Linked DNA regions of Elephas maximus indicus. The main gene of each other region encodes a partner of the protein of the gene in region 2 in a complex. Links are inferred from orthologs where the notes say so. Each region holds a gene or a part of one and is shown on either strand. Other genes may lie near its edges. The genes, in order: TOM1, MYO6, CLTA and GIPC2.

Region 1 (8,238 bases), on a different chromosome or scaffold from region 2:
GGTGCCTCCTGATAACGTGCCCAAAGTATGTGAGACAGTCTCACCATCCTTGCTTCTAGGAAATATTCTGGCTGTACTCTGTACTTCTTCCAAGACAGATCTGTTCATTCTTCTGGCAGTCAATGGTATATTCAATATTCTTTGCCAACACCATAATTCAAAGGCATCAATTCTTCTTCGGTCTTCCTTATTCACCGTACAGCTTTCGAGTACATACGAGGTGACTGAAAATACTATGAAATACAAGCAGCTAATATTAGGTCCAACATCAGTCATCACAGGTCCAATCACCTTCTGCCTCTTTATCTAAATGAAGAATATGTAATCTCGAGGGCATTAACTCAAACTGCACGTATTCTTCATTTAACTCTCATTTTAGAGTCTCTTCAGTTTTGGTTCAAATTTCGATGGCTCTAGGGTTCATCCCAGCTCTACTACTAATTCACTGGGGTCATAGTCTCCACCTTCTCCTCTCTGAACCTCAGTCTCCTCATGTGTAAAATGAAGGGACTGGGCTAGAACAGAGGTGTCATGGATTGAATTGTGTCCTCCTAAAATATGTGTCAACTTGGTTGGGCCATGATTCCCAGTACTGTGTGCTTGTCCTCCATTTTGTTATGCCAAAGAGCATTAGGGTGGGATGGTAACACCCTTACTAAGGTCACATCTCTGGTCCAATGCAAAGAGAGTTTCCCTGGAGCGTGGCCTGCACCAACTTCTATCTTTTTAAGAGACAAAAGGGAAGCAAGCAGAGAGTGGGGACCTCATACCACCAGGAAAGCAGCACCAGGAGGAGAACGTGTCCTTTGGACCCAGGGTTCCTGCACAGAGAAGCTCCTAGTCCAAGGGAAGACTGATGACAAGGACCTTCCTCCAGGGCCGACAGAGAGAGAAAGCCTTTCCCTGGCGCAGACACCCTGGATTTGGACTTCTTGCCTACTAGACTGTGAGAAAATAAATTTCTCTTTGTTAAAGACATCTACTTGTGGTATTTCTGTTATAGCAGCATTAAATGATTACGACAAGAGGTTTTCGACGTGAGGTCTCTGCACCAGCAGCATCAGCATCACCTGGGGACTATGTTAGAAATGCATTCGGGGGCTCCACTGTAGATCGACAGAGTCAGAAACCCTGGAGGTGGGCCCCAGTCAACAGCTTTAACAAGCCCTCCTAGGCATTCTGAAGAGAACCACTGGGTTAGAAGATCCCCCAGTATAAAGACTCTTCCAGCAGTACAACTGGTTCGTGCTCTAAAGTATTATGATTTAGTAGCATTCTCTTTGGACAGAAGTATTTCTTGCCTGAGGCAGGCAACCCTACAGGGTAAAAAGAGAAGCTAAGTTTTCATGGACCAGCTAAAGCCTAGAGCCCAGGTGAGCTTTTCGAGAAAGCCTCAGGGATAAGCGGTTGATTTTGAGGGACAGTTTTTTTTTCCAAGTAGGAAGTCTCAATTTTGGCATGTGACAAAAGGAGTGGTGTCTGTAGCTGGAGAAACTAAGATGAGAGGAGAGCTGTTTTCTCTTTTGGGCTCCAAAACAATGACTCACTGTAGGGTGTGTGTGCTGCCAGGACGGTGGTGTTCCTCTAGAGGGCAGCTTCTCCTCCGTGGTCCAGGAGCTTCTTGGTGTGTAATCCTTGACTACCACCCCACCCCCACACCCACCCCCACCCCTGAAGAGAAATGATTACAAAACCTCAGAAAAGCCACCAACAGCCACAGAGCTGGGTCAACTGACTTTAGTGAGGTTTGGGTTCCAAAAAAGTAAGGATGGGAAGAATGTCTTTCTGAAAGATCTAATTATCCGAGTCTGGATTTAAGAGTGAAAGTCATTAAAAAGATGAAGAGATCATTTCACAGTACTGCCCCAAGGTTCTTCACGCAACAAAGGGGTACAGCCAGACTATGACAGCTGTTGGGGCCATGGCCGCGGGTCCTCCCGGTGCCTGTGTGCAGGAAGGCGGAGCTGCAAGATTTCCCGGGATTTCTGATCCTCACTTGGTGGTTGTATCTCGGTAACAATAATAAACATAACAGCTTTTTCTTATATAGCACTGGCCATGTGCCAGGCACTCTTCTAAGTACTTAACAATTACTAACGAAGCTACTTTCCGGCCTTTTGCTTTGCAGCCGAGAGTTAACCGTTTGTGCCACCCTCCCATCCCAGTAAGGAAACCTCGGCACAGAACTCAGTCACAGAACTGCTAAGTCTCCAGTCACCAGGGTGCCAAGAACCAAGGACAAGCAGCCAGGAGTCAGGCGACCTGCGCTCTATTTAAGCTGTGGGTCTCCAGCCAGAGCTCCTCAGCTGTCCCACCTACTTAGGAATGAGGGAGGCAGAGTCAGGTGGTTTCTAAGCTCACTTTCAGCTCAAAGATTCTGCCACTCTATAAGGAAAGGCAGCCATGGCAAACAGGTCCTGAAACCTTGGTCTTTCAGGCCTGTCCTCCTGGTCGTGTGGGCTTCACAGCGCCTAGAAGTGTGCCAAGCTCTGAGTCTCACAGTGCTGGAGGCCCGGGAGGGTCCCCTGTCCCCGCAAGTCACCTGCCCAGGCCCTGAACCCTCCTCTCTCCAGTCTTGGGAGAATAGGCTTCTAGCCCTTCTCAGGCTTCCGTGTCCGGAGAGCCCGGCGAGCCAGGGAGGAGACGCCAAGAGCCCGGGCAGCACCCGTTCTAGGGAAGCGACGAGGGAAACAGTCGCAAAACCACGCAGTCCCTTTAACCCCGAAAACTTTCTACCTGGGTTCGGGACCCCCCAGCCGACGCACATTGGCTGAGCGGCGGGGGCCTGGGCCCGCCCTCTCTCCTTGCCGATTGGCTGCAATAAACATCCATCACAAGTCGAGGTTCCCTAATGGACCAAGGCCTTGTCAATCAAGGGGGCGGGGGACTGGGCGGAACCAGGCCGATGAGAGACACGCCAGCCTCCTCCACCCAGCCTTCGCTCCCGTCAGTGACTGGGGACCTGGAGGCACCCCGGGTGGGGAGCGGGCCCGGGCGCGGAGCACTGGGACAGGACTGTGCGAGGCTCCGGGGACTCACCGATGCGCTGTCCCACCGGAGAGCTGAACGGGTTCCCCAGCAGAAAGTCCATCGCCGCGACTGCCGCTGCCACCAACACAGGACTCAGCTGACAGCAACCGCCGGCGCCGCCGACCTGTCACGTGACGCGCCAAACGGCTCGCGAGGAGGAGCCGGTGGGGCGGCGCGGAGGGAACCCGGAGCGCGGCCACAGGCCCCGCCCCTGACGTGCGAGGGTCAGGCGCGTGGAGGCGGAGAGCGATGACCGCACTGCGACTTATCCGGCGTCAGCGTGACGTCACGCATGATGTCACACACCACGGAGGGCTGGGGGCCCAGGAAGCGTGGGCCTTTCTGAGCCATGCCCTCAAACTTTTTTAAAAAAGGGTTTTGGGGACCTTGGTCTAACGATCTCACTTGACACATTTGGAAAACTGGGTTTCAGGCCTGGGGAATGACTTAAGGTTGCACAGCAGGCTCAGACTACAGGTCCTAGTGTCCTAGCGCTTAGCCCCGTGACCCCACACTAAGCCCTGGGATTGACAGCCTCTCTGGCTTTCTCTGCCCTGATAGGGCTCTATTTGATGTAGAGGTGTCCGTGCTCCAAGATGCACCCTGCTTGCAGGCCATATTCACTTACCTCAAATAGGAGAGGCAAAGGCCAGGGGTTTGTGACCCCCTGGGACTGAGAGCCAACTCAGTGACTTGCAGCTGGGGACAGGCTAGAGCACAGGGTGGCCAAAAGCACACTCATCTAGTCAAGAGCAGAGCCTGGGGCCTATCTCTGCCATTAATTCACTGTGCGATCCAAATACCAAGGTTCTATCTTGTGCCCTGGATGCTGGAGTTAGATCAAGGATTCTTAGCTTTTTTTTTGGGTCACAGGCTCCCTTGAGAGTTTGAATAAGCCATGAGCATGAGCCTTTCTGAGGAAAAGACAGACACAATTTCAGAGAGTTAACAGGGTCCCTGAAGTACAAAACTGGACTCCTAGTCAATAATCTTAAAAGGCCTCTCTCAATTGTATAAGGAGGGGAGTACATGTAAGATGGTCTTCGGGCCTGGTACCTTACATGCCTTTCTTCATTTAAGCAGTATTACGTGGTTGTATGGAAAATATTTAGCATGAAATTTTTGGGGGTTCTTCCATTAACCACCTTTCACATCCCCATGTTGGGTCATCTGCCAGAAGGTCTTGCTTCACTCTAGTTTAGAGTGATCGTGGGCAGAAGAACCTAGGCTTTACTGCCAAGAATAAAACAGCCATGTTAATATTAAATACCTTTCTGAGGTAAACATGTCCCTTAAAACTGACATAGTACATAAATATTATCTTTTATATTCAAACACTTTTAGACAAAAATCAAGATACTTTGGTTCCAAAATTTAAAATCAGAAACAACCCCCATGTCCCAAAGCAGGCAGTGGAATTCCATTAACTCCATACAAACGCAATATTATACAGATATTGTGATGGTGGAGCCCTGGTAGTGCAGTGATTAAGAGCTTGGCTGCTAACCAAAAGGTCAGCAGTTTGAATCCACCAGCCATTCCTATGGGGCAGTTCTACTCTGTCCTATAGGGTTGCTATGAGTTGGAATCGACTTAATGGCAATGGGGAATTGTGATGGTTAAGGTTGTGTGTCAACTTGGCTGGGCCATGATTCTCAGTGGTTTGGCAGTTATGTAATAATGTAATTTGGCAATTATGTATTGACATAGTCATCCTCCATGATGTGATCTGATATGACCAGCCAATTAGCTATAAGGGGAGTTTCCTCAGGGGTGTAGCCTGCATCCAGTATATATATGGATGTTCTGGCAAAGCTTGCTTGCCTGCTCTGGATCCTGTATCTGGCTTGTAATCACCTGACCTCTGGTTCTTGGGACTTGAGCCAGCAGCCTGCCTGATGTCTTAGGCTGGGTTCTCCAGAGAAACAAAACTAGTGAACCAAACCCAAACCAAACCCATTGCCGTTGAGTTGATTCTGACTCATAGCGACCCAATGGGACAGGGCAGAACTGCCCCATAGAGTTTCCAAGGAGTGCCTGGTAGATTTTAAATGCAGACCTTTTGGTTAGCAGCTGTGGCTCTTAACCACTATGCCACCAGGGTTTCCAAACCAGTGAAGTGTATACATACACACACACACACACACACACACACACACACGCACACAGGCTTGGAGAGAGGGAGGTGATGTGAAACTACGGATGGAATATGGATGGATGTAGAATGAGAGAGACTTATCCCAAGGAAATGGCTCATGTGGTTGTAGAGGGTAGCAAGTCCCAAGTCCATGTGACAGGCATCAGACTGAAGGCTTCTCCTGATTCATGTAACTGCAGGGGCTGATGAACTCAAGAGGCCGACAAATCCCAAGCCCTACAGGCAATAAGGCAGGCTGCTGGCTCAAGTCCCAAGAACTGGAGGTCAGATGAGGAGCCAGATGCAGGATCCAGAGTGAACTAAAGCCAGTGAGCTTTGCCAGAATGCCAATATATAATGTATGCAGGCCACACGGTTGAGGAAACTAATTTACAACTGATTGGCTGATCACATCAGATCACATCATGGAGGTGATTACATTATACCACAAAATGGAAGATAAGTACGTCATTATGTAACTGCCAAACCACCGAGAATCATGGCCCAGCCAAGTTTACACACAACCTTAACCACCACACCTGCCTATCTTGGGTTCTTCAGCCTCTGCAGCTATGAGAGTCAGGAGAAGCCTCTAGCCTGATGCCTGACCCATACATGGACTTGGGACTTAGCCGGCTTCTACAATTACGTGAGCCATTTCCTTGAAATAAAATTTTTTTTCTCTCTTTATGTATATACACACTTCACTGGTTTCGCTTCTCTAGGGAACCCCAGCCTAAGACAGCTGTTAAAACAGAAATGGAAGTATGTGGATTTTGTCAACACAGTACCATAGATAGGAACGTGAATGGCAAACATGAGGTGTAGTACAAAACTGATTAAAACTAAAACTCATTTAATAAAAAGTGCCTCAATTTAATTTTTCCTTTTAGGTATATTAGCAATATTAATATCATATACCTTCCTGAGGGTAAGAATGGTTATATCCCTTAAGACTGACATACTACATAGATGTATTGTGATCTATTATATTCTTTAAGCACTTTTCTAACCAAGTTTGCTTAGGACTATAGATAATTGAGAAGGATCCTAATGAATTACATACACAACTTAAATTTGAAAGTGTCAGCTTAGGGTAGGAGCCTAGGCTTTGGGGTCAGCTAGTACCAATGTTCCGATTTTGGCTATGATGTCTACTGGCTGCGTGCACTTAGGAAAAGTACTTTCTGCATGTGTTTCCCCATCTGTAAAGGGGGATAATGCACCTTGTAGGGCTTTCAGAAGGATTAAATGGGATAAAGTATGCAGATCACTCTCTCTATAAGTCATTCAGCTACATGGTGGTCTCCTTCTTGCTGCCTCTCCATAAGACAGCCTTTTAATCAATCATATGATTTCACTATGTCTTTTAACACCTTGTGTTTGCATGGAAAATTTTATCTTGAAAGCTCAAATCTCCATATGCTTTATGTTCATAGTGTTACTCAACATTCATGTCACGCTGGCTGGCTGCAGGCTTGGAGACAGGGAGGTGACATTAAACTCTTTTATGGAAGGAATTTGGAAGTTTATAAAGATTAAGTGATTTATTCAACATCACTAAGTCAAGATGGTGCTGAAACGGCATGAAATACATCATATTTAACACACGATTCGGACGCAGTCAACTCTTACACAGACTGATATTTTCTTGATATAGGTTAACACTGTAACAGACATAGTTTCATTTGCCAATGAATAGAGCTATAGCTCTCAGATTCACTGGATCTGCAATTTGCAGGAAGAGAAAACAAGAAGCTCCATAACTCAAAAATTACAAAGGGAGCAAGGTGTATGTTAGGAATATGAGTCAGATTAGAAACTTGACCTCTTGTCTGGGCTGATGTCCTTTTTAAAGAAAATTATGGTAGTATATCACATGAAAAATGGAGGTCTTATGAGTTTGTAGGTAACTTTAGATAGCAGCAGGGAAAAGATAGCTGAGACTGGACTACAAATATTAAAAATGTGATTTTTAATAATGTAAGTACAAAATTTAATTTTTTTATACAACTGTAATGGGCTTTGGATCAAACCACTGGTATTTAAAAAACAAAAATAAAACAATGATATAAAAACTGCAAGGAGGTCTGAATCCAAAGTTTTTTCTCTAATAGTACCAAATACCACAAGGTACAGATTATTATACAAATGTGTACAAATTTTAAATACAAATACAATAGGGTTGGGTTTCAAAAGAAAACAAACAAACAAAAAGCAGGTCCTCATCAGGATTTCCAGAAAGTATACAAATGGCAATGGTAGGATTGATTTCTTTCTGTACTAACCCATGTCTTCAAGGCCTCTCCTTGAATACCCTCTGTCAAACAGGAAGCTTCCATGGGTGCAGATGAGGTGTGGGATGAGGGACTAGCCCAAGAAATCAAGCCAAGGTTTCTGCTCTTCTTGATTTTGGTTCCCAAATGTTCCTGATTCCTCCTTTGCTTCCCAGGTTAAATCTCAAAACTGCTCTGAGCTGAGAAAGGCATTCAGCAACCAGAATACCTTTAAAAACAGCCTCGTGACAACACGGCGCGGGGGAAGGGGAAGGAATTAAATAGGATGCAGACTAGCTGCACTGTCCCCAAGGACTTGTTTTGATGCCACAGTGCTCCATCTAGGCTAAGGGAAGAAAACACAATTACCTCAGAGCTGGGTTTTGGCAGATAATCTCACACCAAATTTAAAAAGAACTCTGAAGTGCTCAAGTATCTTCTCTCCATCTGGGAAGCAAAAGTCTGGTTCTTTGGAAATAAGGGTGGCTGGGGATGGTAACATTCTTTTTTTATTTCACTTTCTCGACATTATTGAAGGCCATGAAGGTCTTTATAAAGAATTAGAATTCCGACATAATGATTCCTTTTTGAGGCAGAATGCCTTAAAATGGAGATGATTTGGAGTTTTCAGAGCAGACCAAAGGAAGAAAGGAAGGAACAAATGACAGATCTGTATCTTCCACACGCTGCTGCTGGTGGAAACTTTTGTTATTAAATTATATATACAGAAATTTACAGGATAAATTAAAATCTAAGAGATTTTAGAGTTAAATACACATAATTAAAATACATTCA
Region 2 (8,262 bases):
TACCCTGTAAAAATCTAGCCACCCAACTTACCCTTTCTACCCTTTTCTGTTCATTTTCCCAATCCATTCTATTATTAAAATATGATTTCTAGTTTGTTACGAGAGATCAAATTTATGTGTTCATTTTTGTCATTTATGTTTATTACAGTTCAAGGGCCATTCCTAAAATAAAAAGAGCCATAAAAGAGGATCTGTCCTAAAAGCACAGGTGACACTTTAATCATAATCTAAAAACAAGCTTTTTCCCTGGGATTACCTAATTAATTATATAATATTTAAAAGACAGCTACTGCATTTAGGGACAAAAATCTATCTCATTTGAGGAAAATTTTTTAAAAGTTTTATCCTAACCATGAACATCATACTACTCATTTTAGCTAAGATGAAAACCAGTATTAGGTTACAGTCTAATTCTAGTTCCCATAAAGACCATTAAAATAAAAGCGCCACAATATGTATCACATTCTGGGACTATATCAAAAATAAGGCAACATGATATCACTGTTCAAGGATGTCAATTTGAGAATGAAAAAACAGACCTGGAATTCTATATTAGTTCCAGAACTACACTCATGACCTATCACATCTGCTCTGGGTGCCTTCTTCAAACCTCTAGTTACATTCTTCAATACAATACCAGTTGTGCAGGTGTATCTAACCATCTACCAAGTGAGCTGAAATCAGGGCAAACTGGCCTGGTAGAGGGAACAAAAGTTTCCGGGTCAGAAGACTCAGGTAGGAATCCAGACTTTGCCCCTCAAGGTATATACAACCTTGAGCAAGTATTTAACTCTCTGGCCCCAAGTTTCCTACTACCTGAAAGAAGCGCAAGACCACTAACCTTGAAAATTATTTTGAAGGTCAAGTGCTCCTGTTAGTGTTTTAATTGCAGCAGATGCCTAATAGGGTAACATTCTTACAATACTAATGGACTGGTTCACAAATTATTATGAAGTGTCTCATGATGGGCATCCGAATTAGACTGAGATTTATCAAAGTCGTAATTCTTTTTGCAATCTTTTAAAATAAGGTTTTTTTAATATATAGAAATTAAAATTTTACAGAGTTTAGAAATACCTTTTTAAAACTGACATTTTACACAACAAAGATGGAGCCTCAATTATCAACAGTCACTTAAACTTTTTTTTTTTTAATGTTTGGGGTACTAATATTTATTCAAATATCCCATGGCCAAAACCTTTAAAACTTTCTAAAGAAAGCTGTATTTTAGAGCCCAGATACAGCCCAGTTGTCTAAACAATGGGCTACATGATACACCACAGACTCCAGACAAAGTCACAACAGGATGAGAAAAGAGCCTCCAGCCTCTCTCAGATTTCCTGCCCACTGTTATTTTAAAACTTGATCACACAAACATAAACAGGGAAAAAATCCATTTCAGATAAGCCTCTTGGGTTATGATGTAACTACTGTGGAAAGATCGTATATGAACTCTTTTTAATACCTTGCATTAATTTACTTTAAATATTGCCAATAGCTCAGTACATTTTTCTTACTCATGTTTCCAGGACTAACGAAGAATATACAGTACATGTACATTCTACACACTTTTACATTACATATCATGTTCATAGTTTTTAATCATGACCTATTTTTTTAAGTCTTTTGTCACTTCTGCCACTGCCTTTTAAAATCAGTGTTTGAAAATAAAAATATAACTAAAAAAGTGGGGAAAACAAATAGCATGTCAAACAGATCATACAAATGTAACAACGAATTTGCATAATACTAAAATGACTTCTGTTTACCACTCTGCATGTGATTCCTGTGCAACCGAACATACTCAAAATAAGCTGGATATTTAAAAGTCAATGAGCTACTTTGAAGGGCTGTATTGTTTCAAGCTCTGATTACAGCTCACTTCGTATCATTTGTGGTACTTTTAAAACTAATGATTAAAAAACAACAAGGTAATTCCACTAAACAATTTCCGGTTGGAAAATCATAACCCCAGACGTCTATTAGTTCAGTTAATTTGTACAGAAATGCTATTTTGCTGCCAACCTTTGTACCCTGACAACTACCAACCCAAGTTCAAGATCCACATTTTATGGTGTAAGGATGGTTTCTGCTAAACCTTAAGAATGTTAATTTTTAAAACTCTCAAGCACTGACTATATTTAGCGATACTGCAGCTACACCACCAGAGCACAACAGAGACCAAACTTGTACTCAGAATGTGTAATAATCTATTAAGTTCGTGCTGTGGTCCTAGCTCCCAACTAAGATCTGCAGATTCGATTTTAAGCATTCCTCCACCACATATTTTATGCCAGATAAAACGTAGGGTGTTTCCCGAAACTGTATAAACGTATTTCTGACACGGATGTTCTAGTAATAACACTAACAAGTTATTCTCTACTTAAAATTAAAATTCCAGACTTAGAACATTTTAATCATTTTAAGGAGTTTTGGAAATTAATAAATACACACATGAATTAACATACTTAAGGTACTGGACAATGTGCGATTGAAAATACTGCTTTCGAGAGTCCCAAACGATTCTCCAAATGATTAAACTAGTAATGATAACAGTTGATCCTCGCATCCCAGAACAAAATGCACGCTTCTGCAGTGAATTTTAAGCTTGTTTACAAAAGAGAAAATAAAACTATTATGGAGCGTCCAAGTCAGAACCGGACACCTGAGTGTTCTATCTCTACCTGGGAACAGGGAAGAAACACAAAAGTACCTCGGTGATGATAAACCTATAAAAGGAGAGTCTCATTGTCTATCTGTGGAAAAGAGAACCACCTACGACACTAACGCGAGCCGTCGCCGCTTGGGCACGCTCGCCGCCGGGTCCCACCATCACCTGTGTCGCCCACCCGCGCGTCCTTGGGAAACAAGCCGTCCGCCCCGGGACGGCTGGAGAAGGCCCCGAAGCAGGGCCAGAACAGGAAAAACGAGGCCCAAGCGGTGCAGCCCGCAGCGGGGACTCGGGGACACTCACCTGTGCGGGCGCAGAGGCAAGCGCGCGGCGACGGGGTTACCTGTCGCCGGTGAGGCTAGAGGACGCGGGTGCGAGTGATGAGGACGAGGGAGGAGGACGAAGACGCGTACTAGCACAGGGACCAGGTGGCGGCGGCCAGGGCCGGGATCCTGCTCGCTTCCTGCTCGGACAGGTCCCGGGTCCGTCTCCGCCCGCCGGCCGGCGCCCCGCGGAGTTCCCGGCCCCGCCGCCGCGCACGTCACGGCTACGGAGCGCCCGAGGGGGCGGGGGCGCGGCGGGCCGGGGCGGGCAAACGGGGCCGCGCTCCGGGAGGGGCGCTCGGCGCTGGGGGTCGCCCCGCCCCTCGGTCCGCCTCTCCTGGCGGCGACGCGGAGCTTCGAGGGTCACGGTGGGGGCGCCGCGGGGTCGGACTGCCCCTGGCCGAGCTGAAAGTCCCTGTTCCTCCCCTGGGAAACGGCTTCCTTCGCAATGGTTCTAGTTTCCAGCCCCAGGAAAGCAAGTTCTTTCCAGGCTCGATGGCGTGACTATATAGTCTGGCAACAGCAAGAATTAGCGCAAAGCGGGAAAAAGTTGTGCGGAAAAGAAGGGAGGACCCCAGGGCTGTGGATGCGTGCGGCTTCGCTGAGCTGGGTTGCCCTACGAAGGCAGTAGCCTTCAGTAGCAACAAACTTGCTATTCTGCTTTGGGGGAAGGGAGCCTGAGATGGAAATTTTTGACTTCCCCTAACATTCCCCTCCTGCTGTTATTTATTAGAGCCCCTATCATCTTTTACTGTTTTTATAAGGGACATATCTGTGGATTATATTTTAAAATTAAATATGAAGTAGCTATGCAAATTTGAATTCTGTAATGAAAACGTAAACCGTCTGTACGACGAGTGGAAGCTGCTTTTACGAGAATAAAATGGTAATTGACTATAATGCTGAATGTCTCAAATGAAAAAAAAAAGTACAGATTTTCCCCCCATCATTTCCAATTAGCAACTTTGAAATTGAAGAAAATCTAGAAGATTCAGAAGAGGAGAGAAGTTTCAGATATTCGGATGTTCTACAGTTTTCTCAATGGAGAAACTACAATTAAAACAATAAAATTTTAAGAATTAAATAGGGAAGTAGGAAAGAGGAAGTGAAACCAAGAAAGGAAATAATTTGCAGCAATCTTAGAAATTTAATTCCAGATTGCCAGAAAGTAAATCTTGATATAAAAACTCAAGACTTATAAATGAATTGAAAAAATAATGAGGAGTAGGTGAGGAGGAAGAAGGTAGCATGCTGTGCTTCTTTCACTTCTTTGACCTCATTTTGGACTTAAGATTAAAAAACCTTGGGAAACCAATAGAAGCAGACACATTACAGTTTTTCATGAGTAACAACTTCTGTGACTTGCTCTCTCTTGTCCTCCACTTCTAAACCATTATGGAGTCCCTTTGCTTCTAGCTCTACCTATATCTCAAAAAAAAAAAAAAACTGCTGTGGTCAGCCAATTCTGACTCATAACTGCCCCACAGGGTTTCCAAGGAGTGGCTAAGTGGATTTGAACTGTCGACCTTTTGGTTAAGAGTTAAGAGCACCCGAGCTGTTAACCACTTCACCATCAGGGCTCCTCTATATCTTCAACACAACATCCAATTCCTCTTTATAGCCACCATCATTATCTTGTTTCAGGCCAGGATCGTCTCAGGTCTTGTGTACTGCCTTAGCCACCTAACCAGCTTCCCAGACTATAGCCTCATTCCCTTCTAATTCAGTCTCCACAATGCCACCAGATTTATCTTTTATAAAATACAAATCTTATTATGTGCTTCTCTATTTAAGCTCCTATGATGGTGCTTTGGAGACCTGGTGGCACAATGGTTAAGAGCTCAGCTGCTGACCAAAAAGCAAGCAGTTCAAATTTACCAGCTGCTCCTTGGAATTTCTATGGGGTAGTCCTACTTTGTCCTACAATGGTGCTTCACAACCCATAGTATAAAGTCCATACCCCTTAAAGTTACATAAGATCCTTCTTGATTTAGTTCACCAGTCACAAACTATTTTATTTGGCCAACACAGTAGGGATTTCTTTCTTTCTTTTTATTTTAATTGAATTTGAATGCCTTTTCGTTGGTCATGCAGCCCCCTGGTTCATCGCACGCCTGGTGAAGCTGTTCTACAGCAGCCTTCATACAATGTTTCCTGCCTGTCTTTGGAATCGTTTGCATTTTGCGCCACTGTCATATCTTTACTTAACTGTGTAATCTCATTTCTGCCCACACTGCCTTCCTCCATTTCTTGTACTTTACACTCCAGCCATTGTAAAGTGCTTGTCTGTCCAAAAACAGACAGCAATGCTATTTATCACATTGTAGCAGTGCTAGGCTAAATGGAATTAATCCTTCAGAGCAGAATTTATTTGTCCCCTCTAAAAAGCTTTCCCTAAATCCCTTTATACCAAAACCTAGGTACAAGTCTCTGTTCCTTCCTATTGCTCTTTTAACACCCATTGCACATGTCTCTCTCAACATTTATTTCAGTATTGCAGCTTCAGTTGGCATATAAGTCACCCCCACCTGGACTGAAAGCTACTTGAAGGCAGGATAGTGAACTTCACAAACACACTGACTTTGACATGGTCAACCAAAAAAAAAAAAAAAACCCTGTTGCTGTGGAGTCAATTTTAACTTATGGGGACCCCATGTGTTACAGAGTAGAACTGCTCCATTGGGTTTTCTTGGCTGTAATCTTTACAGAAGCAGCTAGCCAGGCTTCCACGGTCCCACTGGGTGGGTTCAACCTACCAACCTTTAGGTTAATTATAGAAAGCAAACCATTTGCACCATCCGGGGACCTTTTCACATGATAGGCAATCATTAAACAGTGTCTACCATTATTATTATTACTATTGAGTGAATGAGACTGATGGATGAACAAATGGCAAGAGAGTTGACAATTCTAGGAAATTCCATATATACCTGTATTTATGCATATGCTTTTTGCACTGTGTCTTATTTGTTGCCAAAATTCATATCATAATTTATTTTCTATTTATATTTGTAATTGTCTCATCTTTGCTCTTGCCCATTAAATATTTGTAGGGCTCTTCCCCAGATTCTGCCCCAGAGATTTCTAAGCTGAGACTCATCAATCCAGTATCATAAACTTTGAAGGGCTCCATGAACCCCTGACACTATATGTGAAATTTTGTGGTTTTGTTCCTTCATTTTTATAGGAAACCGTGACATGGGTGTTTAAATTGTCTTTACTCTTTGCTTAACTGATAATCATCCACTTTAACAGGTCCAACTGCATCTGTGTCACCAACTCCTAAAATAAAGCAGACTAAATAACCCACAGGTACATGACAGAAAATCATTATCTTTCCCTTGCCAACTCCTTCAAGCAATTCCCTTGCAGACAGAGCCTATTATGATTATGGCATTACCAGTCACCAGTGTCCAGAAGTTGTGGTTTTTAAGTTACCCAACACTCCTTCCTCTTCTTTACTTCTAATTTCGTAGTCATGAATTCTAGTTCATTCTACTACATCATAAATTATTTCCAAGTTGAGGCCTTATTCTCCATCTTCCCTTAGTACGGGCCTTCACCAGTTTTTTGCCTTTGTCTCTGCTCACTCAAATTCATTCTCTGTACCGCCCTCCCCAAATCCAGTTATGTCACTCCTTTACCAAATCATGGTACCTTTCAGATAAATTTAAACTCATTCATATGGAATGATAGAACCCTTCACAGTACTGAACCTAAAGCCATAAAAAAAAAAAAAAAAAAGCCATAGGAATTCAAATATCCCATGCCCTTTCCTGACTATTCCTCCTACATAGACTTTTTTCCCCCTCCCGCCTAATCTAAGGAATTCATTCCCCTCAGTCTTAAAAACTCCATTCAACTATTATTTTCTCTGTTCTGACTCTTTCACAGAATTCTTTTTTCTTTACCTTATTTTCCAGTGCACCACTTCATTTCTATATTGTACCACTTATTAAGGAGTTTTATAATTGTGAGTGTTGCTGTTAGGTGCCGTTGAGTTGGTTCCAACTCATAGCAATCCTATATACAACAGAAGGAAATATGGCCCAGTCCTGCTCCACCTCACACTCACCGTTACGCTTGAGCCCATTGTTGCAGCCACTGTGACAATCTATCTCGTTGAGGGTCTTCCTCTTTTTCACTGACCTTCTACTTTATGAAGCATGATATCCTTCTCCAGGGACTGATCCCTCCTGATAACATGTCCAAAGTATGTGAGACGTCGTCTTATCATCCTTGCTTCTAAGGTGCATTCTGGTTGTACTTCTTCCAAGACAGATTTGTTCATTCTTTTGGCAGTCCATGGTATATTCAATATTCTTCACCAATACCACAATTCAAAGGTGTCAACTCATCCTTGGTCTTCCTTATTCGCTGTCCAGCTTTCACATGCATATGAGGCGATTGAAAATACCATGGCTTGAGTTAGGCACACCTTAGTCTTCAAGGTGATATCTTTGCTTGTCAACACGTTAAAGAGGTCCTTTGTAGCAGATTTACCCAATACAGTGAGTCTTTTGGTTTGACTGCAGCTTGCATGGGTGTTGATTGTGAATCCAAGTAAAATGAAATCCTTGACAGCTTCAGTATTTTCTCTGTTAATCATGATATTGCTTATTGGTCCACTTGTGAGGATTTTTGTTTTATGTTGAAGTGTAATTCATACTGAAGGCTGTAGTCTGTGATTTTCTTCAGTAAGTGCTTCAAGTTCTCTTCACCTTCAGCAAGCAAGGTTGTGTTATCTGCATATTAAAAAAAGTTGTTAATTAGTTTTCCTCCAATCCTGATGCTGGGTTCTTCTTCATATATTCCAGCTTCTCAGACTATTTGCTCGGCATACAGATAGAATAAGTATGGTGAAGGGATACAACCCTGACACACACCTTTACTGACTTTAAACCAGACGTTATTCCCTTGCTCTGTTTGAATGACTGCCTCTTGATATATGTATAGGTTTCCCATAAGCACAATTAAGTGTTCAGGAATCCCCACTCTTTGCAATGTTATCCATAATTTGTTATGATCCACACAGTTAAATGCCTTTTCATTGTCGATAAAACACAGGTAAACATCGTTCTGGTATTCTCTACTTTGAGGAGGCAGGTCTTCCCCAGTCGTATTTTGAGTGCCTTCTAACCTGAGTGGCTCATCTTCTGGCACTATATCAGATAATATTCTGCTGCTATTCATAAGGTTTTCACTGGCTAATTCTTTTTAGAAGTAGACTACCAGGTCCTTCTTCCTAGTCTGTCTTAGTTTGGAAGT
Region 3 (7,378 bases), on a different chromosome or scaffold from region 2:
TCCATAATCACCTCTCCTATTCTCCCTGCTCAGCCCTTATGACAGGACTTTTCAATAGTTCTACACTTGTGTTGCTTTGTTCTTGACCACTTGGTCTTCCTCAAAATCCCTGAAACCCCTTTATTCAGCTGTTTACCTCTCACCTCTAAACTTATTTCCCTTCTCTGGGTCTCGTAACAAGTGAGGGAGGCATCCAAGGCTCAGGTCTAACTGCTCTGGTTTTACCTGCCTCCATCCTCATGGGGGAAACACTGGTCGTGTAGTGGTTAAGTGCTACAGCTGCTAACCAAAAGGTTGGCAGTACAAATCCACCAGGCGCTCCTTGGAACTCTATGGGGCAGTTCTACTCTGTATTATAGGGCTGTTATGAGTTGGAATTAGCTAGACAGCAACGGGTTGGGGTTTTGGTTTAAAACCATGGGAGGAGTTTTCCCCAAGGCTGGGGTTAGTGTGGATATCCTCCTCTCTCCTCAATCACTGCTACAGTCTGGGTATCCTGTACAACACATCAGAAACAGAGCTCCCACCTAAAATCTCTCAATTTCCTCATTACATCCCAAAACCTATAGGCCTCAAAATCCCTTTCTGCCCCACCTCCAAGGAATAAGAGTAGCTGGAATTCACTGGAGTATATACCAGGTACTCCATGTAAGCACTTTACAGGTACTCTCTCATGTAATCATAACAACCCTACGTGGCATATGCTATGCACCTTTTACAGAGAAAATTGTGGCAGAGTGGCGTTAGCAGTTATGTAACTTGCCTGACACCACAAAGCTAAACATTCAAGCAGCCTACACAACAGCCCACAATCTTAACCACTATACTAGAGTGCCTCTTTAAAAAAGAGAGTGTGTCCAACTAGTTATCTAATCCCCAAAGGAAGTGCTGACCACTGCACTATTACCAACCTCAACCACACTGTCAGGAATCTGGCTTTCAGTCACTAAATGCTTAGTTCACTAAGAAAGTCCTTCCTAGAAACTAAGTCAGCAATCATTCCTTCCTTCCCTTTGCTGAAGGCTTGATGCAGGAGGGACCTAAGTGTTTAACTCTATTCTCTCTTTACCATCACACTAAGATCTGCCAGTCCTATACAAGACTGTTGGACCTGACACTTTTTACCCACTCCTTTGACAAACAGTAAGCACCAACTATGTACCAGATACCCGCTAGGTATTAAGGATACAACAGTAGGCAACACTGTCCTTGAGTCAGGACAACCTCCTAACTAGGTATGCAGTAATGACCCCTAGTTCATGGGGCCCTGCTTCTCTTGACTCTGTCCTACCCAGAGCAGCCACAACTGCCTTTCAGAAATGACAATCTTTGATTTGTAAACATTCACTTAAAACACAATAAAAATTATTAAAAAAAAGAAATGACAATCTCTCATCCCACCACACGCCTGCTAAAACAACTGTAGAAGAATGTGTGTACAGTCAGGGTGGAATGACTTGGGGCTCAGCTATTAACCTGCCTTTTTTCTTCAGTCACTTCTCTCAAGGACTCAGTTTTCTCTTTTATTAAATGATGAGAAATAAATCAAGGATCAAAAAAGTAAATTTTATGATTCTCAGGCAAATGTTAAAGACCATCCCATGCAAATACTACTTAACTACTTAAAGCCGACTTCATCTCTCAGTCACAGTCCGGTTCAGTCCAACCTGTCTATATAAATTATATATTCATGGTCATGATCATGGTCTGGCCAATTCTAGAGAATACTAAAGGCTTGCTTTTGGGAAAATATCCCTTGACCCCCATTCTTTATGGTACCACTTTTGATTCCCAAGGCTCTTCTTGGGGGAATGATTTGCTTAGGAGGCAGCACAGTATAGTATAGAGAACTTGGAAGCTGCAAACTAGCAGTCCCCCATTCTCCCTCAGATGTTCTGCTTGGCTGGCATAATAATTTGAGATTTTTGAGCCTGAATGTTTTTAAGCAGAGCCCTACTCTCTACTGCACTGAAGTCTGAGTCTCCAAACTTCCTTAATGTTTCACATTCAGCCTGCTTATCTCATTTATGTTACCTGCCAGGTCCCTTAACAGTTTGAGTTTAGGTACAGATACCCTTATTTGCCCCACAAATGTCTTATTCCCCTTTAACTGAAAGTTTTTTAAGTAAATGACAAGTCATGTCTCGTTTCTTCTGGCTGAACTCCCTACACCACTGAATAGGTCTCTTCCACTCACCTTTCCTCCCACCTGTACAATTCTAAGCATCACACACAAGCAAAGCATTCAAAGATCAAATCAGCATCCTATCACCATCCCTGCACCCCCCTCCTTTTTTTGCTTTAGTTTGGCTGGAAAAAAAAGCCAAACTGCATTCTCTGTTCACCTCTTCTTCCCTCCCTAACTGAACCAGGCTAATCTTAGGTTTCGCCACACCCGGCTACCAAAGGTGTTCCCAGAGGAAGAAGAGCTCCAGAAGTCCTCCTAACATAGCTCAACAAATGCTAAACTCCTGGACGTCTTTGGTTCAAGTTTCCTTCTCCAGGGCTAGACTTCCTTCTTGAGCTCCCCATTCACTCCTCCTTCCTTCCCATAGCCTACGTGCTGTACACCTTAAGCGCTTACATGCTGAATTTCATAGTTTTTGTTTGTTTGTTTAAATATCTCAAAAACAAATTACTACTCTTACTTTTTCTGCCCCCCCGTAACTGGTTCCCTGCTGGAGTAGACTTGCCTGTAATCCTGGCCAAAATGCGCTAAAGCGACTGTTTCAGAGGCCAGGTTCAAGACATAGCAAGTGCTTAACAAAAACTTGCTCAACTGAACGGGCTTCCCATCTTAAGTACCACCCATTCTATCTTCTTTGGTTTCTCGCTCCGCCCGCGCCCGACAGCAGTCAAAGAGCCGGGTAGGCTTCCCCAGCCTAGGTTTCCGTATGACTGGGCCGGGGTCTCGTTTCCTCTTTCCACTCCTCCCTAACCTCCTGGTTCAGCAAGGAACAGGAGTTACACAGAAGCTCTCGGATCCCCTATGTCCTGAATTTCCAAACGAGTCCCACCGCCCCAGCACGCCCGCAATCTCACCCGGACCCCCCGGCGGCTCGCCGTGCGGCTGGGGCCCGAGGGCGCCGCCGTCCAGGATGGCGAAGGCCTCGTCGTTCTCGATGCCCGCAATCTCACTCTCTTGCTGCGCCAAGAAGGCCGCGGCCGGGTCTTCTTCGCCGGTGCCGGCCACACCATTCCCCAGCGCGGGGCCGCCTGGGGCGCCGGCGGGGGCGCCAAACGGATCCATCTCAGCCATGGCGGACAGTTCAACGGCACGGACACTGACGTTGGAAGACACACCAACCGACCCACCGACACCTCCCCAGGAAGCGGTCGCTTTGCTGGCGAGTACGCTCGGAGCACAAGCGGAAGGAGGGAGAAGGCGGAAGCGGAAACCCTGCCTCTATATCCGGCTGGTCTAGGGCGCGTGGAGAGCCGAAAAGAGAGAAACCAATGAGAAGGTAGAAATCGTTCAAGAACTACCCAATCAGCAGGAGGAGAGGCGGGCCTCGGAAGAAAACTCGTGACTCGGGCTTCTCCCAAGAGGGAGGTGAGCTCCGCGGTCCGAGGGGAGGCGGGAGAGGCGCTGGACTAAAGCCACGGTATCTGCCCCGCCCTCGGGAGCCGGAATGATCAGGGATCGCCACCTCTGAAGGGAATTCTTGTCCTGAACCAGGAGGTGAGGTAAAGTTGCGGCTGTGGTGATTGGCGGGTTACAGAAGAGGCAAGCCAGTTATACTGAGCCTCGGTTTCCTCATTTGTAAAAGGGCAAGAATCCATGCACTTGCCTCCCTCCTTCCCTATAGGGAAGACTCCGTTTGTGGATATGGACTGGCTATATGTATTATTTAAAAAACTTGTTAACCCATTCATCCAGTCTGGATTTTTTTCTCTTTTAGAGTCGATTGACATAAATGTAATAGATTCAAATCCGTTCCAACTTTTCTCCCTATAAACATTTTTATAAAAAGACGAATGTATCGCCTTTTAAAAGCACTTTTGCGGACAGTACGTCTTTTCAGAGCTATAAGGAAGTTTTTAGAACTAGAAATTCCACTAGGGATCACCTCGTTCATAGGAAACTGAGATCCCGGTGTGTGAGGGATTCAGTCACGGGAAATCAGTGGCCAAGAGGAGACCCAGGTCTCCTGGGGACCACAGCACTTCTGTGATGGTACCAGCCACACCCCTTATATGTGCACACCTTTCCCAACTAAGAACAGCAGAAACTTCCCTTAAAAAAAAAAAAAAGTTTCTTCAGTATTTCTTTTAAATCAGAAACTTGTTAAACATGGCTAGTTAATGTTGTCTGCATCATAGAAATTATAATAGAGTGATTCCAGTTAATCATGTTCATGATAATGAGGGATATTATGCAATGTATAATGGAAGGCCCTATTTCCATCATCACCACCACTGTAAGAACAGAACCAGAAACAAACTAAAAACACAACCAAAGGTCACAGATATCTCCAGAAGTAGTCAGCAAGGGACAAGAAGGTGGCTTAAAAAAAAAAAAATGTATATTTGATGACAAAGGATAATTATTTTGCTTAAAGTGTGTATTTTCTTTTTAAATCACTCTAAGTATGTAACATAGGAGATTTTGAAGAAGAACATTTAAGAAACTTAAAATGTTAGGGCCTGCAACAGACTCAATCTTCTTCTTCTTCTCGCATAAATTAACAACAATGTATGTAGTATCTACTTTCATAAAAAAAAAAAAAATTTTTTTTTTTTTTGAAACTACCCTGTGAGGAGGATGGGGCCAGGGACTACCGTGAGTAGGTCCAAGGGAGACAGCCTTTGGTTGCTCACTGTAATGGTAGCTGAGGGACTGAGACACATTCTTTCTACACCAAGTGCATGACTGGGGAAGCTATCCTGAGATTCCATTACTAGAGGAGGTATCAGATCTCCTCATGTCAAATCAACAAATATTTATTTACTCAAAATTGGGGAAATCAGCTGGTACGTTCAGGAATGACGTCACAGAAGAGGTAGCTTGCAGCTTAGTTTTGAAATATAGGTAAGATTAGAAAGAAGAGTTAATAGTGAGGGTCTAAAATTACTGTGGAATCCCTGGGGGGTGCAAACAGTTAAGTGCTTGACTAGTAGTCAGAAGGTTGGAGGTTTAAAACCACCCAGGTGTGCCTCAGAAGGCAGGGCTCGCATTCTGCTTCTGAAAGGCCACAGCTTTAAAAACCCTATGGAGCAGTTTTATTCTACACAGGTGGGGTTGCCATGAGTTGGAATTGACTAAGTGGCAGCTAACAACAAGATTACTGTAGGGGGCAGTGGTGGTTCAGTGGTAGGATCCTTGCTTTTCCTGATGGAGACCTGTGTTTGATTCCTAGCCATGTACCTCATGGGCAGCCACCACCTATCTGTCAGTGGAGGCTTTGGTGTTGCTGTATGCTGAACAGGTTTCAGTGGAGCTTCCAGACTAAGTTGTTCTAGCAAGAAAGGCTTGGTGATCTACTTCCGAAAGCAGTGAAAACCCTCTGGATCACAATGATCTGATCTACAACCCATCATGGGGATGGCACAGGCCTGGGCAGCATTTTGTTCTGTTATGTATGGGGTCTCCAGGAGTTAGGGGCCAACTCAACAACAGCCAACAACAAACGAGATTACTATTGTGCAAACGTTCAGTGGTGAGAAAAGGGCATGTTTAGATCACAGTGAATAAACTGGTGTAGCTGGGCCTGAAGGACTCAAGAAGAGGAATGATTTAAGGTAAACCTGAAGCCACCTACTGGGGCTCTGAATGCAGTCCAGGCTTAGGAGCCTTATTCACAGTAGGGAACTGCAGAAGATTTCAGAGATGAATGACATGGTGAATGTGCTGCTTAGAAGGTTAATCTGATCCCTTTGTGCAGGATCAATGAGCAGAGAAGTCCTGCAGTGACATGATGAAGGTCTGGATGGGGCAGTGGTATGTAACTGAATGGGGAGCATTAATGGGAGAATGAGTCCCTACAGAGAAGCAGCCGACTTGGTGTATGACTGGAGGAAGGGGCAGGGTGAGAAGCAGGGGGAAAAGATCACTGAGGCCATGAGTATGTGATATTGCTAGGGCCACTGGTTTGAGGGCTCTCAGAAGCTCAAGTGAATGATAGGAGACAGAAGAAGATATAAAGGGAGATGACCAGGAAGTAGCAAGAGGTGTGCTCAGGAGAGCAGTGAGACTACAAATGGAGACTGGAGAGGACTGAAGACTGAATCTTAGAGGACGGCTGTTTGTGAAGGACAGAGGGGTAGATTAGAGAAATTGAAGGGAAGTCAGTATAGACCTGGGTCATAGAAGTCAAGGAAAAAGAGTTTGCAGGAGAAAGAAGCAATTGGCAGAAAGGTGAAGAAGAGCAAGGGCTGAGCAGATGCTGTTGGCCATCAAGATGACTGGTGACCTTGGTGAGAAAGACATCAGAGGGTTCTGGAAGCAGAAATCATGTTGCACTGGATTGAGGAGTGAAAAGTGTAGTGGACAGCTGTTGATTTTGCCCTTCTACCATCCAGTTTTCCTTTTTTTCTGAAATCAGCACCCTGATTTTCCTTTGGGGAACCACTTATCCATTGGATGGAGTTGACCTGGACCATGTGGCCCAGGCCTGGCAAATTAGAACATTCCATCTCCTGGCCAAATGACTTGTTCAGGAATGGATAAGTGAGTCAAGCCAAGTCCATGAGACTCAATTCCAGGACTGTTCTAAAGTCTTTGGGAAAGCAGGGCTCTTTTGTTATGACTGATGAGCTGGTAAAATGTAAACTTGGATCTTCTGGTGATCGTCTCTCCATCAAGAGAAGAGAGCCAGACTGAGTGAAGCCAACGTAGAGGAAAGCAGAGATGAAGACAGACGGCTTCCTGCTTGCATCATTGAGCACCTGGATTCAGACATTCTTGAAGTGAGATACCTACTTTTGGACTTTCAAGTTCTGTGAACAAATAAACTTTTTTTTCTCCTTTAAGACAGTTGTGTTTTGATAACTTGTAAATAAAAGAATTCTGTCTGATATAGAATAAGAGATGAGGGTAAATGTAAATATAGAAGACTTTATTAGAAATGTTGGCAGCAAGGAAAGAAGGAAGAGCTATATTTAGGGCTATAACACCACGGGGACGTTTGTTAAGGTAGGAGACAGTTGAGTACATTTGTAGGTGAGGATAGGGAGAAGTTGAAGTTATATAATAAGGAAGAGGTGGTGGAAACAATAGACTGGGGAGAGAGAATTTTAGAGGCAAGAGTGAGGACAGACACCCCTGAGGGACTCAATTGCTTTAGGAAAGTGAGAACCAGTGGAAGAAAGGGAAGAGGTTTAGAATTGTCCAAGGGGAAGCTCAGTAGATAACGACCTTTATAAATTAATTGTGTGC
Region 4 (7,371 bases), on a different chromosome or scaffold from region 2:
GACCATGGAATAGTTGTAATCCACGATTGTCAGTATCTCAAGAGCACCTTTTTGAAGCAATAAACATTTCTGTGTTTGAGTCTGAGGCTTTAATTGAAAACACCATTGTCTAAGCAAAAAGAATTTTGAAGTTTTTCCAGATTTGTATAAGGAATTTGAATGCTTATAGCCATCTCTCTAGAGAAAAGGCAGATCCATTTATGAGTTAACTGTGTATTCAATCCTACTAATGAGAGGGGAAAAAACTTTGTTTTGACCCCACTGATATCTCAAAAATTATTTACACCACTATGCACTTTGCTGGGGGAATAAGATGGGAAATGAGACCTCACTGATGTGTATTTTATTTTAGTAAATTATTGCTGTTTCAGAATTAACTACTTAGTTACTTATGACATACTGTACTATGATGACCAAAACTTTATCCTGGATATACTTATTAACTCTTTTTAATCCACATGGAAAACTTGCGTTAATATTGGTTTTATACATAAACATACACATATTATATACAATAAAAATTACTTATGAGCTTTGATATAGCACATCAAAATACATTGTTTATTATCTTGGAATTTTATCTTGCAAGTCAGTGCACTGAAAGCTGAAAATATTGAACACAGCTTCCGAGCTATTGCTCAGAGACTCTGGAAAACTTGGGAAACAATACAGATTCATAGATTTTGGAGTCAGAAAAAAAAAAAAACCCAGGTTTGAATCCAGGCTCTGCCACTTACTACAGGTAATTCGGGGGGGGCGGATGCTCTGAACCTGAAAGCCTCAGTTTTCTCTCTGTAAAACAGGGATATTAGACTGAGAGAAGTTAAGAAGCTTGTCTGAAGCAAAACAGGTAGTGTCATGGATTGAATTGCATCCCCCCAAAATATCTGTCAACTTAGCTAGGCCATGATTCTTAGTATTGTGTACTGTCCACCATTTTATGTGATTTTCCTATATGTTGTAAATCCTATCAGTATGATGTAATAGCAGCAGTTATATGGATGAAGTCTACAAGAGTAGGTGGTGTCTTAAACCAATGTCTTTTGAAATATAAAAGAGAAAAGCGAGCAGAGAGATGTGGGGACCTCATACTACCAAGAAAGCAGTGCCGGGAGCAGAGAACGTCCTTTGGACCTGAAGTTCCTGTGCTGAGATGCTCCCAGACCAAGGAAAGACTGAAGACAAGGACCTTCCTCCAGAGTGGACAGAGAAAGCCTTCCCCTGGAGCTGAAGCCCTGAGTTGGGACTTTTAGCCTACTGGACTGTGAGAGAATAAACTTCTCTTCGTTAAAGCCATCCACTTGTGGTATTTCTGTTATAGCAGGGCTAGATGACTAAGACAGGTACTAAGTGGTAAAGCCTAGATTCTCAAGTTTATTAGTCACCAAGCCCTGCGGCTAGTTCCCTAATGACGACCTGCCCACCTACCTACCCTAGAGAAGATCAAAAGGAAATTTTTTCAGTGAAAGTTTTTTGAGATTGCAAGGTCCTGTATAGGGTCGCTATGAGTCGGAATCAACTCCACTGTAACAAACGTAATGTATTATTTTTACTTACTACTATATATCAATATAAGTAATTCGTAAAATGGGTTTGTGCTTTGCCCTTTAGTGCCTGAGAACCCTGAAAGAACAACTATTACACTTCTAGCTCTCTTTCATCTCTTCTTGGAATTTTGCCTTGACCTCAATTTCACTTGAACAAACCTGATAAACAACATTAAAGAACAGAAATCTAAATGCTGCTATGTGCCACTCACTGAAAGGAGGGTTACTGCATGCCTGGCAGGCCAGGGCAATACAATCTTGTGCTTTTCCTAGAAATAAAAGACAAAACATTTTCTTGGGCTAACTTCTCACACATAAATTTGCAGTTCACTTGGGTACACGTAAAGTGGTCACATAAACGTCCACACTGAGGAAGCATAAACGTGCTTTCGAGATCACGCCCATTGCCAAGCACTAACGCATGCGTTCAATCTAATTAAAGAAAATTTCTGTCCCTTTTCAAGGGTATGATGTAAAATTTAGAGCTGATTTCCCCCATGAGAATTTTGTTAATTAGTCTCAGGTAGTTAAGTATATCAACTATCCACCCTTGGAATAATAAACTTCTTGGAAATAACCACCAAAGGGTTTCTGGTGTCGATACCGGAAATGGTAGATGAGGAGCAAAGTGGGCCTCGGTTTGATATCATCTGGAAGGCACTTTGATTTTTCCCTCTTACTCTGGGGCGATGCCAAGCGCAACCCCCTTACTCCTGCGGAAGAAACAGGAGAGTAAAGTCCAGATTGGGGAGGGCGTTGATTGCTCACAACCTGCCCGGCTGAATCCCGGCCTCAGAGAGCAAACTCAGACGCAAGAGGAAGAAAGGTCGCCCCTGGTTTCCCAGAGGCCGGATCTCCGAGCATGAGGGTGTGACTCGCCCTCTCTTCCCACTGCCCCCTGGGAAGTTCTCGACCGACTCCACCCGCATCCGATTTCGGGCTCCGGGAGGCACCGCCCAAACTCCCCAGGCCACAACCGAAGCCGACGCGGCGTGTCCGACAGGCAGGGAGAGGGAGCGGAGGCTGCACACCCGGCCCCTTACCTCCGACGGCGAAATCTCAAAGGCGCCCGCGATCTTGGCATAGAGCTCCTGGATGCTGGAGAAACCCTCAACTCTGCCTGTGGCGCTGCCGTGCGCCAGCTGCGTGTGGAAAACCAGCCTGCGTACGGGAACCTGGTCCGGGAGACTCCCGCCGCCCGCCCCCGGCTGCTCGCTCTCCACCAGCTGGGCAGTCTCCTTGGCTTTGGCTTTCTTCTTTCTCAGCAGCCCCAGGGGCATCTTGCCGGATTGAAGGAGCGGGATCACCTGTGCTGCGACCGCCTTCTCCTCCGCCCGGCGCTACGGACTTTGCGCTCCTGGCCTGGGGCCTCCGCGCAGGTAAAGGCCGCCGCCCGGCCAATGGCAGAGGCGCTTCCGCCTGGCAGCGCCCGTTCGGGGCTCCTTCCTCCACCCGGAGGACCCAGAGCAGCCGTCCGCCCTCCCTCGGAAAAGAAGGAAAGGTGGGCACAGTTCCGCACCTCCCAGCTTCTTTCTTTAAAAAATGTTTCCATTTCCGTAAGGGCCTCGGGATGCTGAAGCTACAAAACACACGTCTCAGAAAACAAACAAGCACTTCTGGTGCTTTTCATAAATTCATGAGGCACGCATGTTTCGGCCGGAGACCTTCCTGTCTGTACAGTACGTCTAGGCCAATGGGGATAGGGATTTAAGTAGAAGTCAGCCTTCATCTGCTGTCTCTGCGCCTTACACCCTGTAGGGCAGAATTGGAGGGAAAAGTCACATAATCTTGAGATTGCTGCCACATTAACTTTATGGTGAGCACCCTCAGCTAGGCCTTCAACACCTCTCAGTAATCCTTCTCCCCGCCCCCTCGCAGCTTTTTCTCCTAAACCGTTCCGCAGTCTCCCAGAGCCCTTTGCCCCACCTCCGCCCTTCTCTGTCTCCGGAGAACCCTGACTCTATGGAAAAGATGGAGGCCATTATGTGTGAATTGTGAGTCCCTTAATACCCAACTCCTTGTCCGTAACTCCAAGGAGCCCTGGTGGAACAGTGGTTAAAGCGATAGACTGCTAAGTTCTGTGATTCAAAACCACCAGAGGATCCGGGGAAGAACGATGTGGCAGTCCGCGTCCACAGAGATTTATAGCCTTGGAAACCCTATGGGGTCACTATGAGTCGGAATCGAGTCCGCGGCAGTGAGTTTGGTTTGTTTTTGGTGTCTGTAACTCCTTCCAGCTCCTTTCCCCAAACTCCCAAGAAATCTCTTTTCTTTTGGCCTTTGGTATGATCTCCTTCGCCCCTCTTCAGGGATCTCTATTTTTAAACTACTTGTTGACTCTTCCTCTTTTCCACATGATGCCACTGGGGGTCCACAAATTCAAACATCTTTGACTCGAGGTGGTTCCCTCTAGCTACATTTCCTCAACAAAGCAAAACAGTCTCCAATTGCTGTAGTTCCTAGCTTCCCTTTACTCTTAGACTCACTGTGATCAGAAGTTGCTCTGATTATGGTCAGCACTTTTTAATCACCAAATAAATAATTTTTTCAGTCCGTATTTTACTTGGCATTTAACAACATCTATCTCTGTGGACCATTTCGTTCTTCTTAAACTTTGTCTCTTTTGGCTTCCTTTCCTCCCACCCCACCCACCTTGCCAACTGGTTCTCCAGAAATTGTGTTCCCCAAGGCTATTTTTCCTTGCCTCCTCCTTTTTCTGTCTGCTGTCCTTGAATGATCACATTTACTGTCTCGGATTCAACAAATGTTGACTACCAAATTTATATCTCCGGTTCAGTCCACTAGAAAGGCAATGTACAAAGCAGAGCTCATCATTGCCCCTAAACATTTTGGGGCGGGGGGGGCAGGGGGGAGAACTCCTGCTTTCAGTAAATAGGACTACCATGCACTCAATGGCCCAGACCACACACCTGTGAATCATCATACCGTGCTTCCTTTTCCTTCACCTCTCACATCAGTTCAGTCCTGAAAAATCTTTATCAAATTAAGGTTAGCAGCTATACTTAGGAGAGAAGTCTGAATTCTTAGGATAACTCTTTAAACGTTGTGTTTTATATTTCTATGACTTAAAAAATATAAATACATACATATATATAAACATTCTGGAACATCTGGGTGACTACCTGATGATGGAATACTGCCTCAGGATCTCAGGACTAGAAATTGCTATTGTGTTTATCATTGCTATGGCACCAAATACTTTTATTGTCTTGGGTTAATGAAGGCCAGATAACTTCACAATGAATTGTATGAATAAAGAACTCAAAGAAGTTTGAAGAGAAGTAAAAGAATAAATCATAGCATCATGGCAGGGCTACCACTAGCATATAGGGCACCTTTATGCAAATTAGGAAAAAGCACCCGCTCAAAGTAAATGATGTAAAAACAGGTGTACCAATCTGGGTAGGTGCAGCATCTTGCTAGGCTGCATGGCTTGGTAAGTTTCTCGAGCCAGACTTAACTCCCACTTATCCCCTGAGATAGGCACCTTTGGCAGTGTACAGACTGCCTAGCACCCTAGATAGAGTCAAATGCAAAAGAAGCTGAGTCATGATTATCTGTCAGTACCAGTTTCACGTACAAGAGGCAATTTAGATTCAGCTAAACGTCATTTGGAGTCCCTGGGTGGTACAAACAGTTAACACCCTCAGCTACTAACCAAAAGGTTGGAAGTTCCAGTCCACCCAGAGGCACCTTAGAAGAAAGACCTGGCAATCTACTTCCAGAAAATCATCTGTTGAAAACCCTGCAGTTCTACTCTGACACACATGAGGTTGCCATGAATCAGAATGGACTTGACAGCAACTAGTGTCAGCAGCTGGTGGTGATGGAAACATCATCTGCTGTATTAAAATAATGTTCATTTGAATTGTATTCACTTTAGTTTTATTGAATTTTTTTGTTTGTTTTATGATTGTAGAAGACCTTTTGTACCTAGATTTGTTTGTACATATTTAATAAACCTTTCGAGGAAAATAATTTGTAAACCCTAAGAGCCTGTGTGTTGTAATGAGTTAATTGCTTAATATGGCCCTTTTAGCCACCAGGTCTTTGTGACTCACACACAGTGATTAAGTGGGACTATGCAAATAAGGCATATGGGACCTGTGATGGTTGGGGTTATGTGTCAACTTGGTTTGGCCATGATTCCCAGTATTGTGTTGTTGTCCTCCATTTTATGTGTTGTGGATTCTGACCTCTGCATGTTGATGAGGCAGAACTGGTATAGGGTGTGTCTTGGGTTGCAGCCTTGCAGGAGGGTGTGACTAAAGCCCCACCCTTATGAAAGTTACTCAGTTCCCTGGAGTGTGGCCTGCATCTAAGATACATATGTGTGTCCTGGCCAGGTTCTCTCTGCATCTGGATCCTTTGTCTGATTCATGATCAGTTGATATCTCCAGAGGCCTGCTGTCCCACCTGCCGATTTGATTTTGAGGTTCACCGGCCCACACAGCCACTTGGGCTGGGGGTACAGGGGAGTGGTGCTATCATGTGACCTGATTCACCATCTTCCGCAGCCTTGTGAGCCAGCAGCCTGTAGTCTGAACTGCTGGTTTGGGTTTGTCAGCCCCTGCAGCCACATGGTTTAGGAGAAGCCTACACCTGGCCCACGAATTTAGGACTTGCAGCCTTCACAACCACATGAGCCATTTCCTTCATACAGTTTGTGAGTTCTGCGAGGCGTTGCAGCAAATCAGGGAACCCAGAGATGGGAGGAAGAGTACTGAGGGGAAAGGGACTAGATGATGTTAGTGATAAAGGAGCTGTACAGCAGCTTGGAAGAGTTAGACGTTTGGGATATCTTTGACCTCTGCCTCATAGAAACCAGCTTTGTGCTGATCCTTATAAAACAAATTATTCGTTTAGCCTGGAAGGATTATTTTTTCCTTTAGAGGGAGTTCATGACTGCTGTTTCTATTTCAGGACCATCTCTTGAATCTCCTGCCCTCCATCCCCACTGTTACTGCCTTAGCATACATCCTTTTCACCTACTGGCACTTTGCCTCTCCTCTGGCACCCTACAAGCCATCATCCCATCTGCCAGACCAATGTCGTGCTGTCATCCCTTCGATAATGTTCAAATACTGGCTTCAGATATCCCTCCACCTTTAAAAGAGACCTTTTGACAATTTAGGGAAGGATTCAGGCTTTCTCCAGAGCACTAAAAGAGGAGCAAATCCCAAAGGCCAGTGTGGTGGTAGCACTAACAACAGTACCATGCCAAGGGGAAGATAAGGCTTATGAAACAAGTCAGTGATCTGGGGTCAAGAGACTTATCTCCACCAAGAGACTTTTCACTAAAGGGAAATGGCAACTTTTCTTATAATTCTGTAAAGGGATGCAATAGAAGAAGAATATGACTTGGCTATTCTGATGTAGGGAAGAGCTTTCAGAGATCAGTTTTTACTAGTAAAACAGGGGCCAGGATGCAGGAAGGAGTGAATGTTGCAAAAGTGAAAGTAGCAAGAATTAATGACAGTACAGATGAGACAAATTGTTTAGAGACAGATAAAAAAAATTGAAAATACTGCAGTAAAGCCACAGATAATTCTAGATGGAGCTAAGCATTTAAGGAGAAGGAAAAGAGGGGGGAAAAAAGGTCACTATGAGTTGGCATAGACTGGACAGCAACAGGTTTATGGGTAGGTAACTAGCAAAATAAGTTCTGTTGGAAGTTAAAGGATGGAGGTGAATATCTAGAGTACTAGGTGCCAATAAACTTTCTCAACATAAAAGTTTTCAAACTACGGCAAAGTTGAAAGCATTTTACAGTGAACACCCGTATATTCATCACCTGTATAGT

The links.
Region 1: the proteins of MYO6 (region 2) and TOM1 are in contact, whole or in part, in a crystal structure (PDB 6J56), measured with the Homo sapiens proteins. The link is inferred for Elephas maximus indicus from reciprocal best matches to the Homo sapiens genes MYO6 and TOM1. Residues at the interface, in NP_001355794.1 of Homo sapiens: Ile1182, Phe1184, Trp1202, Gln1214, Glu1216, His1218, Asp1220, Lys1221, Pro1222, Ile1224, Leu1226, Glu1234, Met1235, Cys1236, Leu1238, Glu1242, Thr1243, Gly1244, Leu1245, Arg1247; in NP_005479.1 of Homo sapiens: Ser440, Glu441, Phe443, Phe446, Leu447, Arg450, Ala451, Ala453, Ala454, Asp455, Leu457, Pro458, Asn459, Leu460, Ser461.
Region 3: the proteins of MYO6 (region 2) and CLTA are in contact, whole or in part, in an NMR structure (PDB 6E5N), measured with the Homo sapiens proteins. The link is inferred for Elephas maximus indicus from reciprocal best matches to the Homo sapiens genes MYO6 and CLTA. Residues at the interface, in NP_001355794.1 of Homo sapiens: Met1053, Thr1054, Pro1055, Met1058, Ala1059, Met1062, Ser1087, Trp1089, Lys1090, Tyr1091, Glu1113, Arg1117, Leu1118, Val1120, Tyr1121, Trp1124, Asn1128; in NP_009027.1 of Homo sapiens: Glu47, Asn48, Glu50, Ala51, Phe52, Ile54, Leu55, Asp56, Gly57, Gly58, Ala59, Pro60, Gly61.
Region 4: the proteins of MYO6 (region 2) and GIPC2 are in contact, whole or in part, in a crystal structure (PDB 5V6H), measured with the Mus musculus proteins. The link is inferred for Elephas maximus indicus from reciprocal best matches to the Homo sapiens genes MYO6 and GIPC2. Residues at the interface, in NP_001034635.2 of Mus musculus: Ser1055, Lys1056, Trp1057, Lys1058, Tyr1059, Arg1084, Arg1085, Leu1086, Val1088, Tyr1089, Trp1092, Lys1093, Asn1096; in NP_058563.1 of Mus musculus: Glu255, Leu256, Tyr257, Met258, Gly259, Ile260, Asp262, Asp264, Leu265, Thr268, Thr289, Leu290, Asp292, Phe293, Ala294, Pro296.

Annotation. Positions count from the first base shown.
Region 1 is NC_064822.1:178,742,690-178,750,927, reverse strand, and holds the start of TOM1 (target of Myb1 membrane trafficking protein), read right to left. Parts: upstream 3,216-8,238; 5' UTR 3,092-3,215; coding exon 3,040-3,091; intron 1-3,039.
Region 2 is NC_064819.1:139,186,492-139,194,753, reverse strand, and holds the start of MYO6 (unconventional myosin-VI), read right to left. Parts: upstream 3,213-8,262; 5' UTR 2,975-3,212; intron 1-2,974. UniProt on the Homo sapiens protein: Myosins are actin-based motor molecules with ATPase activity. Unconventional myosins serve in intracellular movements. Myosin 6 is a reverse-direction motor protein that moves towards the minus-end of actin filaments.
Region 3 is NC_064827.1:45,041,401-45,048,778, reverse strand, and holds the start of CLTA (clathrin light chain A), read right to left. Parts: upstream 3,391-7,378; 5' UTR 3,260-3,390; coding exon 3,043-3,259; intron 1-3,042. UniProt on the Homo sapiens protein: Clathrin is the major protein of the polyhedral coat of coated pits and vesicles.
Region 4 is NC_064821.1:126,020,784-126,028,154, reverse strand, and holds the start of GIPC2 (PDZ domain-containing protein GIPC2), read right to left. Parts: upstream 3,343-7,371; 5' UTR 2,828-3,342; coding exon 2,591-2,827; intron 1-2,590.